Danio rerio: one gene and its partner. The protein of the gene in region 2 purifies or fractionates together with the protein of the main gene of each other region. This does not show direct contact. Links are inferred from orthologs where the notes say so. Each region holds a gene or a part of one and is shown on either strand. Other genes may lie near its edges.

Region 1 (5,925 bases), on a different chromosome or scaffold from region 2:
ATTAACCCATGCAATCAGTCTCAATAAACGGCCCACTCAAACAGACGTCGGCAACAGAACGCTGGGTAATTCTTACAACCATGGTGCAAATTTGTCTCAGCGAAGGTTAATGTTGACAAATATTTCAATATTAAAGGAGTAATTCAACTAGTCAGGTCGCTTGTTTCAGGCCTTCGATAAAAGCGCCGTTTATTTTTCGACAAGCGTGGGATGGAAATTGCCTTGATTTCTTGTATGCGATTAAATGGTCACACTTTGACAGAAAGCTGTGCATTACATTATCAAGCTTGAGTGATTCTGGATTGCCAACAGACAAGGATTTTAATTCAGACAGAAGGCAGAAATCAAGGTTAAAACTAGATGTACTGACTTTTAAGCTTTTAAGCAACAGGATCAACTCAATGCATGGCTATAATGACTTTTATTCTGTTATCTTCAGTTCAGTCCAATACCTAACTGTAGATTTAAGTTGTTACTAGGGCTGCACAATATATTATTGTGAAAATTATTGTTATCGCGATAAAACGCATGTGCAATATATGCATCGCACACACGTGTTATAAATCACATTTGTTTTATGCATTGGTTATCTAAATTTGACCAATCAGATGGGGCCTTACTATCTTTATCCCCGCCTCTCCAGTAGTTACTGTTCTGCTATTGGGTGGAGTTGCCCAAATGTGAACACAAAGCTGAAAATAAACACTTATGGGTGGCGTCAAGACGAGACAGGAAAACAACAACAGCCAATCAGAGGTTTTTACTCATTTATGGTGTTTTAAAGACACATAAATGCTTCCACCTTGACACCATTTTTTAAGTCCGAATTAAAATAATTTTTAAAAATATCTTCAAACTGTTTATTTTTATATTATTTAATAAATAAATGATTTAAAAAGCATCTAATAAAAATAGCATTTTTGTTGGAAAATGTTTTATCGTAAGAAATTATCGCTACTCTCAACAATAAATTACATACTTTTTCAATATGAAAAGTCAATTTCCTATTAGGTTTACACAACAACAGGTTTTCATATGTATTTTTAATCATTTTTATTTTTTTTGTTTTTATATTACTTTTATTACTTTTATTATTATTATCATTATTATTAATATTATTAATATTATTATTATATTTTGATGTTTTATATATTATTTTATGACTCTTATTGTTATTATTATTTGAATCACTATTTATTATTACAATATTGTTATTTTTATATACATAACTTTAATGATGATTATTTTAAAAATTAGCATTTATTATTATTATTAATATTATTATTATTATTATATTTTTGCTATTTTTATATATTACTTTTAAAATGATGAAGATGATTATTTAAATTATTTACATTATTTATTATTACCATTATATTTTAAAAAATTTTATATATTACTTTTATGATGATTATTAATATTAAATTATTTGCTAAATTTAGCATTATAATTTTTTGTTGTGTTTTTATGTTACTTTTATTATTAAAATGAATTGCATTATTATTATTTCTTCGTTTTTGATATATTACTTATGATGATGATTATTATTATTACTATTAAAATTATTAAATTGTGTTGTGCTTTTTTGAATTACTTTTATGAATATTGTTATTATTACTTAAATTATTAGCATTTTTACTATTATTATTATTATTATTATTATTATTATTATTATATGTTTGTTATTTTTATATATTAATTTTATGATGATGATGATTATTATACTTATTTTTTAAATAATTTGCATTATTATTACTATTATATTTAAATTATTTGCTTTATTATTATATTTTTTACTTTTTTAATACTTCTATGATTAATTATTTTAATTTGAATTGTTTGCATTATTATTATTACTAGTATTATTTAAATTATTTGTATTATTATTATTATTATTATTATTAATATTTAAATTATTTGCATTATTATTATTATCATTTAAATTTGCATTATTATTATTATTTAAATAGTTTGCATTATTATTTTTTTTAATTATTATATTTAGTTGTGTTTGTTATATATTACTTTTATGATGGATGATTATTAAAACTATTTGCATTTATATATTGTTATTTTTTAAATATTACTTTTATGATTATTATTATTTAAATTACTTGCTATTATTAATTATTATTAATATATTTGTATTGTTTTTTATATATTTCATTATTATTATTATTATTATTATTATTATTATTATTAAAGTTTTACTGCCACTACATTATTTTGACGGTTTTATCTGTTGTTTTTGGTGCAAAAGTTTAAAAGAAAATGTGGAAAGGCCTTTTGTAAGCTGCCATTTCTATCATATATGTACTTTTCGCTAAATATAAAAAAAATAAATCTAACCAAATAAATCTCTGATGGGAGACTTTAACCTTTGTATTTGTGGTGATCTACATCCACAAACTGCTGCATTACTCACAGAAGAAAAGCGAAAACAATACAAAGCAAAAAGCAACTAAATATATTATTAAGTTCTGGCATATTTACAGACCTGCATGAAGAAGCCGGTGACCAGAGCGCGGCGGATGTTGATGTAATAGTCTCGGCTGGTGAACTCTGTGCTGCGTCGGGGTAAGTTGAACCGGTCCATGATCCGAGAAAGCTGCTGCCGCACATTATCAGCCGACATCAGCGAGCGGTAGTTGATGAAGTTATCGTAGCACCATTGCACCGACTCGTGGTCTTAAAACAGAACGGTTTACACATTAGAAACAGGTTACTGTGCACTTTCTGTTTGTTTTAAGTCAAACTCTCAGATTACATCTGTCTGACGTATTGAGTGTGGCTAACATATAGATATAGGTAGAGAGACAGAGACGAGACAGATGGATGGAGATTTAGATGGGTGGATAGGGATAGAAATAGGGATGGATAGATGTACAGGGATAGTGATAGAGATGGGTGGATAAGGACAGAAATAGGGATGGATGGATGGATGGATGGATGTACAGGGATGTGAATGGATGGATGTACAGGGATATGGATGGATGGATGTACAGGGATATGGATGGATGGATGGATGGATGGATGGATGGATGGATGGATGGATGGATGGATAAGGATAGAAATAGGGATGGATGGATGGATGGATGTACAGGGATGTGAATGGATGGATGTACAGGGATATGGATGGATGGATGGATGGATGGATGGATGGATGGATGGATGGATGGATGGATGGATGAGGATAGAAATAGGGATGGATGGATGGATGGACAAGGGTCAGGGTAGAGATATGGATAGATGGATAGGGATTTGGATGATAGATAGGGTTAGGATATAAATGGATGGATAGGAATATGGATGGATAGGAATAGGGATAGGGATATGGATGGATAGAGATATGGATGAATGGATAGGGATGGAAATAACGATGGATGGATAGGGATAAATATAGGGATGGATGGACTGATAAGGACAGATAGAGATGGATGTATAGGGATAGAAATAAAGATGGACAGGGATAAAGATAGGGATGAATGGATGGATAGATAGATAGATAGATAGATAGATAGATAGATAGATAGATAGATAGATAGATAGATAGATAGATAGATAGATAGATAGATAGATAGATAGATAGATAGATAGATAGATAGATAGATAGATAGATAGATAGATAGATAGATAGATAGATAGATAGATAGATAGATAGATAGGGATAGATGGATTGATATAGAGATGGGGATGAATACCTGGATGAATGGGGAAATGAATAGGGATGATGGATGAATGGATGAAAGAGATGAGGATAGATGGATAGGGATAGAGATGGGGATGGACAAAGATAGAGATGGAGATAAATGGATGGATAGATTGGGATAGAGATGGGGATGGATGGGGATATGGATAGACAGATGGAGATAGAGATATAGATGGATGGTCGGATAAACTTTGTTCTAAGATTAATTATCTGTAACACTGCTAATTAAAATCATTCTGAAGCTTAAATTCATTACTGTACTGACAAATTAAACTGAAATTTGCAGCTTCACATCAACATCAAGAAACTCCAATGCCTGTTATCTTGCTCCATCTAAGCAATGGCTACTGTAAAAGACTGAGTGAAATGAGAGAATCCCCATGGGATTTTGAGAGAAAATATGCATGCTGAAGTGAGGGATGAGCCACACTCCAGTCTTTCTGAACAGTTTTAATAGCGCACTGCCTCGCAGGCACTCAATCTGATGAAACAAATCATGATTTTGGCCACCTACAAAAACAACCTGAAATTAGTTGTAATATATGTAGGCAATTAGGCTAATTAAAAATGGGGGAAGGAATCATGTCACATGGGCTCAAGCTGCAAGTGTGTGTGTGTGTGTGTGTGTGTGTGTGTGTGTGTGTGTGTGTGTGTGTGTGTGTGTGTGTGTGTGTGTGTGTGTGTGTGTGTGTGTGTGTGTGTGTGTGTGTTTTTGCAACACATCAGGACACAAATGTGTAAAATGACATGGGTATTACAATTAGATGGTGAATTATGAGAACATTGACTGTCCCCATAAATCACAAAAAAATCAAATGCATGTGTGAGTGTGTGTGTGTCGTATATACATACTCTGTTTGAAGGCGTGGTAGACGTTGAGCAAGGTCAGGTGGTCCCCGTCGATGTGGGCGAACCTCATTTTGGACTCATCAGCAGCCTTCTTAGCTTCGGTGGGACGCACAAAGCACTGTGGGACTAAACAAGGTTGGTATGGGCCCCAACATAGCCGCCCATAGGGATGAGTCAAGCGTTCACCCAGACAGGACACAAGGCCTAGTTCTGAGGCTAGAGCACGGCACAGGGTACGGTACGCTACACCAAACGCACGGGGCGGGGGGGAGAGATGCTGCTCTGCTTTTCATTTGCCTTTCTGCAAGAAAGAGATGGCGGCTGTGGAAATGATGCTAAATCTGCGGTTTGGTAATCTTCCCGTGGGATGAGGTCACTTGAGTCAGTCGCGCTTTAATGATGGTATTTGTGTTTGTTTAAAACCCATGCAGGCTACACATAACGTTTACAATTAATTATTTAAAATTTACATAAGCCCATTTATTTGGACTAGGGTTGCCAATACTGGAATTCATTACTAATTGATACTGAAATTTTAAAAATGTTCATTTCCCGCTGACATTTGAGCACTACTGAGCACATTCTTAATCAGCGCTGATTGGCCATTGTGTTCATGTGCTCAACAGAAATGCCTGTGATTGGCTGTGAAGGTCATCAGTTCACCGAACTCCCCACTGTTTACTGAGTGTAACCACAAATAGAGGGACACTGGGGCATTTTAAAGCAGCGATTCATCAGAGGATCACTTGTATGTCAGCTTTTCGGCCAGGAGTCACCAATTTTGGTTCTGGAGGGCCGGTGTCCCTGCAGGGTTTAGCTCCAACTTGCTTCAACACACCTGCCTGGGTGTTTCAAGTATACCCAGTAAGACCTCGATTAGCTTGTTCAGGTGTGTTTGATTAGGGTTGGAGCTAAGATCTGTAGGACACCGGCCCTCCAGGAACAAGTTTGGTGACCACTGTTTTAGACAAACTAGCCGAACGACGTGACTTTAAAATGCTCCAGTGTCCCTGTATCTGTGGTTACACTCAGTAAACAGCGGTGAGTTCGGTGAACCGATGACCTTCAAGGCCAATCACAGTCTTTTCTGTTGAGCACGTGGACACAGTGACAAATCAGCACTGTTTAAGAACTTGCTAACAGCACTCAAATGTTAGCAGGAAATTGACGTTTTTAAAACTTCAGTATCGATTGGTATCAAATTCCAGTATCGTGACAACCCTCATTTTGACTACAGTTTTAGCCAAACTAATTAAAAGGCAACCAATATAATTAAATCAAAATTGACTGTTCTCATATAAAACATCCTATTGTCATGTCATATTCACATTCAAAGCTGCTATTGAGATATTAAAATTAAGCCGAAT
Region 2 (4,592 bases):
CTGACTGGTACAGTACGGTACAGTTCGGGTCGGTACGGGTCACCTTTATCAGGCTTGCATTTCCACTACCAAGGGTAGCCTTTTGGTGGGCGTGGTATATGACAGAAAGTTTCAGTCGACGTCATGCTCGCTCGAATAAATGTCTACAGTAAAGCTGTACGGGTCGCTTACATATAACATGAGCAGCACTTCTTACAAAACAGATGCTTTATAGACAAATACTTGTTTATAAATGTTTATTACTAACTTTTCTATGAACAGGATATGATTATAACTGCAGATCAATGACAGTGCAAAATAGCCTACTGTAACGTCTGCAATTATATAAAATAAATATATAAATGCAACATAAATGAACACATAGAGACCCTAACGGTCTCCGATATATTATTAATTACAGAAAAACTATACACATCATACATTTAGTACTTATATGAGTGCAAAAACACACACAATATAGCCCACAGTCAGCGCAAACCTGTGAATAAGCTGTGCATGTCATTTGAAAGGCCTTGCTTGTTTTTAGAACAGAGTTCAAAATGATTCTCCATTTTAGTCAATCATTTTAAGCCCAGAAAAGTCTTTAAACAAAACTACTCAGCAATAACCAAACAGAATCTCAAATAAAAACTCAATTTATAATAAATATATGAAAAAAGAGGATGTTGTGGATTTAAAAAAAAGCTCTTTTATTCTGAAGGCTAAGGCCAGAAATAGTTGTGCAATATCTTGTTTGTAATGTAATTTAATGTTCAGGGCTTCAATCCAAAATGTAGTGCCAGTCATGCCGGATTACTTTAATACTTACTGGAAAGGTGCCACAGAAGTGGCTGGCAGATCGTAAGTGGATTCTTTGGTCTGCTTGTTGTAGAAAAACTTTCTTTTAGAACTTTTGCTGAAAGCCATTGTCCATGGGTCTGTCAAAAAAAGACAAATAATAATCATTATTATCAATGCAAATTCAAATTTAGCATGGCACTGCATTGATATGAAGCTGTTTGCCCTCACCATTCACTGTTTTGATGATGTAAAGGCCGGTCGGGAGGAAATGACGATCATCTCTGCCTGTGTACGATAGTCTCGGCATCCCTCCTGAACTTTTGGTTATCTTCATTTCCAACCTGAGAGAAAAGAAAACAAAAAAAAAGAGCGCACTTTTGAAAATAAAAATAGTTTTTCTTTCATTTCATGTTAATTAATATAAATAACATTTTGCATGTAAATATAAATTATTTATGATAAATTAAAGAAATAACAAATATATTTATTGTATGTTATATGGTATTTTCATTCATTTCGAATAAAAACAAAGAATATAATAAAAGCAAGATAATAATTACAAATAATTGTATTACCTAATTTTGCCATTATTTTATTTCATTTTTGTTTTAAAATGACAGCGTGTATTAAACAAATTATCTGACATTGAGAAAAAAAAGAATGTAAATAACTTTTAAAACAATTTATTTTATAATTTATTTCCTTTTTTAAATTTAAAATGTATAAATATAAATTAAAACATTTAATTAGTTTAACTTAAAATATAATCAATAAAAACAAAATAGAGAAAAAATTTATAAGCAATGTAAATGATTTTTATTTCATTTAAAATGTAAAATATTAAATAGAATGCTTTATGCTTTAATTTAACTCAAAATATAATAAATAACAAAATAGAAATAACATATTTTAGCTTTTACACTAATATAATAAAAAATAGTCTTGCTTTTATTTAAATTATGCATTATTTTGTTCCTTTGAAATTTAATCAAAAATCATTTTATAATAGATTTGTTTTGACATGTTTTGTAATGATGTGAAGCTGAATTTGACACAATCTACATTGTAAAAGCGCTACACAAATAAAAGTAAATTGAATTGATTTTATTTCATATTTCTTGTTGTTTAAAAATCATGAGTCACAATGAAAAGTAAATAATTTAAAAATCTATATCATACACGTTATATTTTGATTTCATTTAAAAAGTATTCTCAGAATTTCGTAAAAATATTTTTTGTATATATTTTAATTAAAAGTCATTTTAATAGTGAATTATTTTGCCATGGTTTTATTTTATATTTGTTTTAAAAAGACAGCGTTTATTAAACAAGTTATATGATATTGAGAAAAAAAGAATGTAAATAACTTTTAAAACAATTTATTTTAGAATTTACTTTCTTTTTTTAATTTAAAATGTGAAAATATAAATTAAAACATTTAATTAATTTTACTTAAAATATCTTCAATAAAAACAAAATAGAGAAAAATTAATAAATTAAATATTTTAGTTTTTACATTAAAATAATACAAAAAATTATTGTATTTTAGAATTAAAATATGTTACTTTTAAAATAAAATATTTTCAGAACGAAAAATTAAAAGGCTAAACATGAAAACTGAGTTACTTGAAGAATGATAACATAAAATAACATTTTGTTTTATTCAGTTTAGTTTATATTTAAAAATAAATATTCCACGTTTACAATATTCGATTTCATTTTAATATAAATTTAATGAATGCATATCTTAATTTTATTATGTTTAAAATTTCACTTGAAATATTTAAAATACGGGAAAAAAACGTACAAATACATATTTTATATTGCTTAATTTTTTCAAATAAAATGCATTATAAAAAATTAATTAGTAAAACATGTTTTACTTCATTTAAAATTATATTCAAAATAAATCAAACAAAAAAATAACAAAAAAATCTGCATGCATGCATGTGGTTGACATAATTGAACGCACCTCACAAAGATTTTCTCCATCTCCTCCAACCTATAGACTTCCTTCACTCTAATAAATGAAAGAGAAAGACTGTGAATGGATGAAGCAGAAACAACAAGCGCATTGTATTATAATATCACCCGAAACATGAAAGCTCCTGTCTAGGCTCTAGTAAAACACTGTATCTTCATCCATTTTACATACAGCTCCCTCCGGTGTTCACAGATCATCCGTCACTGACATGCCAATTAAAAACGACCACGGAGAGAAAAAAATTTTACCGGATCGGGTTCATGTCGGGCCTGCTGGGTTTGGACACGGCTTTCACAAACTTCTCCACCATCTGGATTCTGCAACAACAACAAACACACTAGTAGCATTAAAATTAATTTAAGGACTCTTCCTGCGGGCACATTTATTGTCACTGTGAACGAGAAGTTGCTGCAGACTTTTATTTCAGGATGATGTATATACAACTATCTTAGCAAATTAATTGTTTTAGGGGCGTGACTAAGCATATTTTGTACAATGACATCATCAGAGAACAGGCTATATACAGAAAAAATTCAATACCCTTAAAGATTCTTTCCATATATTTTAAACCTCATCGCCACTTCAGGTTGCAACCGGTCACATCGACAACATTTTTACTTACAGTATATTTAGTAAATACTGATTGCAAGAAACTAATCCAAACTAAAACATTTTTATAAGCTGAATAAAAATACTAATCCAGCAGGTGGCGCTTAACGTTACGGTATTATTTTTATATATATATATATATATATATATATATATATATATATATATATATATATATATATATATATATATATATATATAAAGAAGTCTTGTTCAATAGAAAAGGAATATAGTTTAAAAGAAATATAATTCAGAAAGATGGGGAAAAGGGTTTGGGGAGAGTTATTACAACCTAACAGAGACCTCCTCGTTACTATTTCTGTTTGTTGTCAAAACTGAGTTGGAGGGGCGTGGTTAAGTATGCTAGCCACGCCCAATTTTTAAGATATACATTGTTACAACTTTACTGAGAAACAAACAGGAAGTGCATTTTCAAAATTCAACTAAAGATTAGAAGGGCATTTTTTTTCTTGACATTCACAGATTAATTGTTCACCACAGAACTAATGATGAGAGCTAACAAAACCATATGGTTAGTTTTGATTTCTTAGGGACTGTAAATACGTGCAGCCTAACTAAAATCAGAAAGTATACAATGTTAAAAATGAGGTAAAACTCTGTGGTTGCCAAAGGTTTCAAAATTTGTTAAGATTCAAAAAGGCATCTGCTAACCACATAAATGTAAAGCAGTAGTTAGTGAAAAAAGACCTCTGGTTGAAGTGCTGATCTCTGACGTCAGTGCCGTTGAGAACAAGAGCATCGAGAACATGCACAGCGTTGATCCTTCGCTGGGCTTTTCCCTGCAAGTACAATCAGGAAATTAAACTAATTGAACCATTTATTCAAGAGATCTGTTAAAAAAAATGCAGATTCTTCCAATAAGAAAACAATTGAAGTCTTTATGAATGAGTCATTGAATCATTTGTTCAAGATGCAGATTTTTATGATAAAACTACTTATTACAAAGTATAATATAAGCATTTATGATTTGCATAATTGAATTACTTGTTCAAGATATTTGTTCAAAAACACTAAACCATACAATGGGTTTTTCTATGCCAATACTTGAATCAGAAAGTATTCATAGCGCTTCACTTTTTCCACTTTTATTATGTTACAGTTTTATTCCAAATGGATTAAATTAATTTATTTCCTCAAAATTCTCCACACAATACCCCATAATGACAATGTGACAAAAGATTTTTTGAAATTGTAACAA

Evidence for each region. Proteins that work in one complex are often made in the same cells at the same time.
Region 1: the proteins of cmtr1 (region 2) and dhx15 purify together in Homo sapiens (co-immunoprecipitation; 3 studies listed by BioGRID and IntAct, with this or other methods). This does not show direct contact. The link is inferred for Danio rerio from reciprocal best matches to the Homo sapiens genes CMTR1 and DHX15.

Annotation. Positions count from the first base shown.
Region 1 is NC_133182.1:76,858,668-76,864,592, forward strand, and holds part of dhx15 (ATP-dependent RNA helicase DHX15), read right to left. Parts: exon of another isoform or gene 4,685-5,925; coding exon 4,562-4,684; intron 2,689-4,561; coding exon 2,498-2,688; intron 1-2,497.
Region 2 is NC_133198.1:38,482,241-38,486,832, forward strand, and holds part of cmtr1 (cap-specific mRNA (nucleoside-2'-O-)-methyltransferase 1), read right to left. Parts: intron 4,174-4,592; coding exon 4,082-4,173; intron 3,082-4,081; coding exon 3,013-3,081; intron 2,801-3,012; coding exon 2,753-2,800; intron 1,122-2,752; coding exon 1,009-1,121; intron 918-1,008; coding exon 809-917; intron 1-808. UniProt on the Homo sapiens protein: S-adenosyl-L-methionine-dependent methyltransferase that mediates mRNA cap1 2'-O-ribose methylation to the 5'-cap structure of mRNAs.